Linked DNA regions of Macaca mulatta. The protein of the gene in region 2 purifies or fractionates together with the protein of the main gene of each other region. This does not show direct contact. Links are inferred from orthologs where the notes say so. Each region holds a gene or a part of one and is shown on either strand. Other genes may lie near its edges.

Region 1 (3,852 bases), on a different chromosome or scaffold from region 2:
TATAGTTCAACTCCTTTGTTCTAGCAATTAGGAAACGGGGGTTGACTGGTGATGTAACTTGCTGAGGGTCAAGTGATATTCATGAAACTCCAACCAACTGACTCTACTGCTCTTTAGCAGAGAACTCCTATTGTTCTTTTGTGTGTGCTGGGGTGGGGGTGGGGGGCGTTAAAACATAATAAGTAAACAGCAATAAAGAACTGACATTTAAGTAAATGTAAAGTTACAAATAATGGATTCAGTTTTAATGGTTATTATGAGGTAAGTGTTTTATGTCACATATATCAAATCATATTTAAAGAACCAATTGTAATTACATGGTGACTGACACTATCACAGTTATGCCTAGAATGAGGAAGAGGCTAGTTAGAAAGGACAGAGAATATTTGGGGCTTAAAGTGGTGGTAAGGAGCTTCTATTTCTTGAAATCCTTCTATCCAGTAGAGTGATAAAAGATCTTTCTTACTTGACTTACTTGCATGATTTATTAGATTAATGTAGAAGGGAGTCACAGAGGCTAGCAAATTCACCACAGTATGCCCACAGAAGCTATTTTGAAATGCATCTAATGCTCATATTATAATCTCAAACATGTCAAAAGAAGATGTTCCTTATGCTAACACACTAATACCTTCTTCCAACTAATGGTATATTTATATGTTGTGTATGTTTTTGTCTCAATTTCATTTTTATTTCCCATTTAGAGTACATTAGTTTAGGTCCAGTTTAATGTGCTCAAAAATCCATTAAATTTCTTTTAAATGTCCATATGATAGTAATATCAGTCATGCTCTGAAAAAATAAAAATAAAAAAACTTCTACCTACTAACCTGAGAGTCCAAGCCCTTCTGAATGCAATTCAATTATAGGATCAGATACAAATGAATTGTTCAATGCAATTTAACAAATAATTGTAAAAATGAATTGTTAAAAATTGAATCCTAGGCCGGGCGCTTTTGGGAGGCCGAGGCAGGCAGATCACGTGAGGTCAGGAGTTTGAGACCAGCCTGGCCAATGTGGTGAAACCCCATCTCTACTAAAAACATAAAAATTAGCTGGGCATGGTGGTGCATGCCTGTAATCCCAGCTACTCGGGCAGCTGAGGCACAAGAATCACTTGAACCCAGGACGCAGAGGTTGCAGTGAGCCAAGATTGTGCCACTGCACCCCAGCCTGGACGACAGAGTGAGACTGTGTCTCAAAAAACAAAACAAAACAAAATTGAAACCTAAAAAGCCAAAAAAACTTTAAAAACAAACTACACAAGAGTAAAAACACTTCACAGAAATATTAACAGATTTTCTTTTGTTTTAAAATTTCTTCAACTCTCAAGTTTCAGCACTAATATACAGATAGGAAAATCTAACTAATATACTAATAGGAAAATACATGAAATATAAAATTATTTCAGGCAGTAAAAATAAAGCTGTGTTTTAAAATATTTTATTTCACCAAATCATTAATTATCTCCTTAGAAGCAGGAAAAAAAATGTCACTAAGGTATACTGAGAAACTTCTATTAGTGGAATTTACATGAGAATGTTAAAATACTATTTCCTATAGCTATCCCTTAAAAACATATTCTCAAATACACTATAACATTTCTTCTTTAAGACAACAAAACTCAAAAAAAAACTCCAAAAAAAAATTCCTGTCATACCACAAAAAACAGAAATATAACTTTTGATGAGAAACGGTTGAAAAGTAAAATAAGAAAAATGAAATAGAAAAGCACATTATAGACCTTGTAATTATTGCTAGAAAATGGGCACATCATAATATCAACTTGCAATGGCTCTTATTAATGATTTAATCTATCCAATTAAGGATAACTTTATATAACACTAACAATGAAATGAGTCCCAAGAATTTTTTTACTATACCACCTATCCATTTTGAAGTCACTAAAATAAATTTTAATATTTGCTTGTTTCAAGTAGACAAGTAATTGCTAGATATAAACCTTATATCAGACCTTCTTTAATCATTATCTACCCCTCAATGTCAACTTATTAGTTTTTGTCGAATGCTAAAACGAAATTTCTGCCAGTAATAAATTCTTGAATTTTATTCACCTGAAAATTTTGAAAAATTCCAGGTCTTAGAGTTCAGTGGAAAATCAATATTGTAACAAAACTCCCAGCTACAATGACAAGGCCATCAAATATATATTTTTCATCAGCATTTTTATAGGACTTAAAAATTCTAAAAACAGAGAATCACCTGTCTGCCAGGATGGAGCCCTGAACTGTGGTAAGAGAGTAGTTCCTGAAGCAGCAGCCTGAGCAGTTCGGGATTCAGCAGTAGACAGAAAATTCATCACTGAAGACTCTTTAGTGTTACTGCTGGCACTGTTCACACTAGTATCAAATATTCCAGAAAGACCTACATTGGAAGATAAAATATATCCCAAAGTAAAAAAAAAATATGTACTTGTATAAAATTATATTCCTGACTCTATTTTAAAATTTCTGAAAATTGAGGCCAAAACATTCTACAACCCCAAATAGTTTTATTTTGATAGTAAACATATCAATTTGACCAAGCATATTTATAATTTAAAATCTCCAAAGATACATGAAAAAAGATCTTTTAATTTATTAATTATATAAATATTCCCTGTTGGTAAAAACCAAAGCTTTGGCCGGGTGCGGCAGCTCACACCTGTAATCCCAGCACTTCTGGAGGCCGAGGTGGAAGGATCACAAGGTCAGGAGTTTGAGACCAGCCTGGCCAATATGGTGAAACTCCATCTCTATTAAAAAGTACAAAAATTAGCCGGGCATGGTGGCAGGCGCCTGTAGTCCCAGCTACTCGGGAGGCTGAAGTAGGAGAATCACTTGAACCCCGGAGGTGGAGGTTGCAGTAAGCCAAGATCACGCCATTGCACTCCAGCCCGGCCAACAGAGCAGTGTCAAAAACAAAAACAAAAAACAAGCTTATACTCTCATTTCATTTCCCATGGCATGAGTATGTCCTACACATTCAGAACCCAACACATGAAAATTGGTTTTCCTTCTTATTCACTAAATGTACCCAGACTCATAGTATATTTCACAAGAGAATTGTTACCAGTAGGTTGAGGTGTGGGAGCATATCCAGGAAGCTGATGAGAGGCTGCAAAACTCTGTCTCTGAAGGAGATCTGTTTCAGAGTGTGAGGGATGTCCTTCTTCATAGCTTAAACTAGAGGACATTAAAAATCAGTGAACAAAATATACAGTCCAAACCATTTGATAAAAAAAACTTCTAGAAGAGCAACTATAAAAGTAGTAGAAACCTTTGACCAACTTCCTGACCTATAGATTAGTGGATCAAACACAGTCTGACGATACTATCACAATGGAGAAAATATATTTAAGATGCATTAGGAGAAAAATAATATACAGTATTTTCTTTAATTCAACTCTACCTCAAACAAGAGTCTTTTTACTGGGAGAGGTAATGTGGTACAGCAGAAAAAGCAATATCCTGGACAACAGAGAGCTGAATTCATTGTATAGGCTCTACTTCTGGCTTACTGTGTAATTTAAATAAGTGACTCAATTATTGTTGGACTAATTTCATCTGTATAAAAAAAGGACCAGATGAAATAACCTCCATAACCCAATTATAGTATTCTATGGAATAACAGATAATTCAAAAAAAGAATTAATACTATTTCCCAATAACTCACTGAGAAAACTTCAAGCTCAAACATTATCAGAGTAGTCCAAAACAAGATTTTTTTACCCCCTCCCCTTGGAAAGGAAAGATTATGTTTTTATTTTGAGTATTTTAAACCCATAGAAAAAATCGAAACTTCAATGAACACCCATATACCTGTCCCTTAAGATTCAACAACTATTAAGAT
Region 2 (3,558 bases):
TTATATGTCCAAGAAAATTACTATTCTAGTTCCATGTTATTTTATTACAGATTACAAATAAGATCGAAGGGTTCCCAATTTGTTTTACAGAATAGCAAAACTCTTTCTTAAACTGGATAAACAGAAATAAATGTGTGACCTTAGATTCTGAAGCTCATAAACTCTCTAGTAAAAGTAACAACATTTTAAAATACCAAGAAGAGGCTGGGTGCAGTGGCTTACACCTGTTATCCCAGCATTTTGGGAGGCTGAGGCGGGCGAATTACCTGAGGTCAGGAGTTCGAGACCAGCCTGGCCAACATGGTGAAACCTCATCTCTACTAAAAAATACAAAAAGTAGCCAGGTATGGTGGCACGCACCTGTAATCCCAGCTACTCAGGAGACTGAGGCAGGAGAATCGCTTGAACCCAGGACCCAGGAGGCGGAAGTTGCAGTGAGCTTAGACTGCCCGGGCACTCCTGCCGGGGCAATAGAGTGAGACTCTGTTAAAAAAAAAAAAAAGAAAAAAAAGAAGGAGAAGGAGAGAGAAGAGAGAAGAGAAGAGAAGAGAAGAGAAGAGAAGAGAAGGGAAGAGAGAAGAGAAGGAGGAAGAGGAAGCGGAAGAAGAAGAAATACCAAGAAGAAAAGAAAAGAAGTTCTCAAGTTATCCAAAGAGAACAGTAAGACAAAGACGTTATGCACTGTATTTTCCTCAGCCTCAGCCTGGCCCTCCACTACATACTTCATTGATTTCTCTTTTCATTTGTTTTCGTAAATTAAAAAAAAACAAAAACAAAAAACTGACATGCAATTGTAGATATTTATGAGGTAAAATTTGATGTTCTGATTCATGTATATGTAGTATAATGATCAAATCAGGTAGTGTATCCATCACCTCATGCGTTTATCACTTCTTTGTGGTGACAATATTGAAAAGCCTTCCTTTTAGCTATTTTGTAATATACAATATCTTAATGTTAACTATAGTCATCCTACTGCACAACAGAACACTAGAATTTATTCCTCCTGTTTAAATGTAATTTTCCATGTTGGCTAACTGCTTCCAAGCCCCTCTTCTCCTTCCTCTCCCCAATCTCTGGTAACTACTGTTCTACTCTCTACTTCCACGATATCAACTTTTTTTTTTTTTATTCCACATATGAGTGAGATCATGTGGTATTTGACGTGCCTTTTAAAACACAGTGAAGAATCTGTCTTACTTTATTCAGGGTAGGAGAAGCTGCCTGTAGTACTAGAACTTGCACTGGCCATGGCAGTAGTATCATCTGTGGTGGCAATTCTAGCCTGGGCTCTCTCTTCCTCATCTTTCAAAGCCTCCTCATACCACAGTGGGAAGGATCTGGGATCACTCCCATTTACCTTGGCCAAAAATTTCAGGAGACTCATCTTCCTAATTTCAGCATGGGCCCTTGGACCCCACAGGAACTCATACCGTGCAGGATCACTGCCAGGCACCTGCCGGTATTCCAGGTAGTTTTCCTGCACCCAATCTTGGGTGAGCAGCTTCCTGGGCTCCCCATAAATGAAGTGCTCCATCCCATCATACAGTCCCATCATATTCAGTGCTTCCCAGATGACCTCCTCAGGGGTGCAGTAGCCCTCTATGAAGATTATGCTTAGGATAAGTATGAGAATGCCAGTCTTGGGCATGCTCTGGACATCACTCAGCATCCCATCATAGGTGAGGCCCAGGGAGGTGACAAGGACAAAGGAGTGGCCAGTGGGGTCCAATTCCTTTACATCAATGCCAAAGACCAGCAGCATGCACTCGGAGGCTTCACTGAACACCACGGGGAAGTGTTCTTCATAATTTTTTATGACACTCTCCAGTATTTCTGCCTTTGTGATCGGCTCCTTCGTTTGATACTTGGAGAGCAGGAACTCCACCAAATCAGTCACCTTTTCATCTATCTCACTTCTGGGTAAAGACTCATTGTCTGGCAGGGCCTGTAGGGTGCTTGGACTCTCCTCCTTTTGGCTGCCGAAGCCCTCATCAGATTGGTCTAATGGAAGGGAGGCAATGACTGAGGGAGAGGAGCAGGCTATCTGAGCACTCTGGGGAGGATTTGGTGTCCCTTCATCAGCAGAAACCTCTTCTGGGGTGCTTGGTATTAGAGGATAGCAGGAGGAGGAGGAGGAGGAAGAGGAGGAGGAGGGAAAAGAGGATGGAAAAGAGGAGCTGGTGGAAGTGGATGATGAAGCATCCTCCTCCACAGCTGGGGGAGCCTGTGCACCCTCGAGGCCCTGTGTCTCACTTTGGGATTGAAGGTCTTCTTCAGGCATGCAGCGCTGACGCTTTGGAGCTCGAGGCATGATGACTCTGATCAGGGTAGCAGGTGGGAGAGTGGGCAGGAGTTGAGCGATGGGGACCCACAGGCCTGGGGAGAGAGGGAGGGTGTAAGTGGCCACAGCTGAGAACCACACTCTGGAGGTTCTAACAAAGGCCAACTTACAGGTCTTCTCTTTCAGTGCTGCTCTGTGGTGTCCCACAGCTCTTGACCTCTTGGTCTCCCTGTCCCCTGATAACCTGAGGAAGGAAGTGAGAGATGGCTCCCTCAGGATGCAGCCAGCAGAGGCCAAGGCTCCAGGACTGACAGTAGGGTAGCTGGAGTTGATGCAGTGGGGTCCACTTTGTCCTGGAGCAGGTGGGGCCCTTGGTACACATTCAGGGCATGCACCTCACCTTGACTCCTGGCACTGTCTGGGCCCTCTCTGCTCTGTGACCTGAAAACACCGCCTTAGACCAAGGCCTCACCTCACAGTCTCTGGAGCTCCTGGAAGAGGAACTGAGGGACCCTCAGAGTTCAGGCTGCAAGCACAGCCCCAGCCTCCCAGTGTTGTCAGGAGGGCGGGCTGGACTCTGTGAGTTCCACACTACTCTGGGGTGGGTAGTCCCCTCTGTGCTCACACAGGGGCTCTCACCTTTCTCCTGGAGAAGCCTGGACCCTGCCCCTTTGCTGGTCTAAGAAACTCTCAGATCAAAAGTTTACATCCTAATACAAAATAGAAGACATGAGGGGACCCACATCTGGTCACAACTGCGGAGGTCCTCCCAGAAAAGACAGCAAAAGGTGGCCATATTCAGCTGGGTCCATGTGTCCTGGGGTTAGGAGCCTGCTTGGTCTTCATCTTGATGCCTGATAGGACCTGGGACCCTCCCTTTGTGGACCTGAGGCCACTTCCTTAAACCAAGGCCCTATCTCCAGGAGACATGGAAAGAGGAAGTGAGGGGAGTCCATCTACCCACAGTTCCCTATGAATTCCCGTGGCTGACGGAGGGGCAGGGTGGGGCTGAATCCTGTGCGTTTGGAGAATGGTGTCCCCTCAGTACTCACCTTGACTCCTGGCAGGGTCTGGGACCCTCCCTCTGCTGACCCGAGTGCAGCTCCCTTAGACCAACACCTCCCCCTCCCAGAGACCAGTGATCCTTGTATAAGACAGGGTGCCTCAGCAGACTGCCCTGACTAGGTTCTCCAGAGTGACAGTAGGGTCATGGCAGATTTCTGTGGGGCCCCTATCTGTGTTATGGGCTGGGGATATCCTCAAATTTCCCTCAG

The links.
Region 1: the proteins of MAGEA10 (region 2) and QSER1 purify together in Homo sapiens (affinity purification with mass spectrometry; 3 studies listed by BioGRID and IntAct, counting the BioPlex papers as one, with this or other methods). This does not show direct contact. The link is inferred for Macaca mulatta from reciprocal best matches to the Homo sapiens genes MAGEA10 and QSER1.

The regions. Positions count from the first base shown.
Region 1 is NC_133419.1:32,354,394-32,358,245, forward strand, and holds the start of QSER1 (glutamine and serine-rich protein 1), read right to left. Parts: upstream 3,073-3,852; intron 2,386-3,072; coding exon of another isoform or gene 2,321-2,385; coding exon 2,224-2,320; intron 1-2,223. UniProt on the Homo sapiens protein: Plays an essential role in the protection and maintenance of transcriptional and developmental programs.
Region 2 is NC_133426.1:158,383,433-158,386,990, forward strand, and holds MAGEA10 (melanoma-associated antigen 10), read right to left. Parts: upstream 2,315-3,558; coding exon 1,202-2,314; 3' UTR 710-1,201; downstream 1-709. UniProt on the Homo sapiens protein: Not known, though may play a role in embryonal development and tumor transformation or aspects of tumor progression.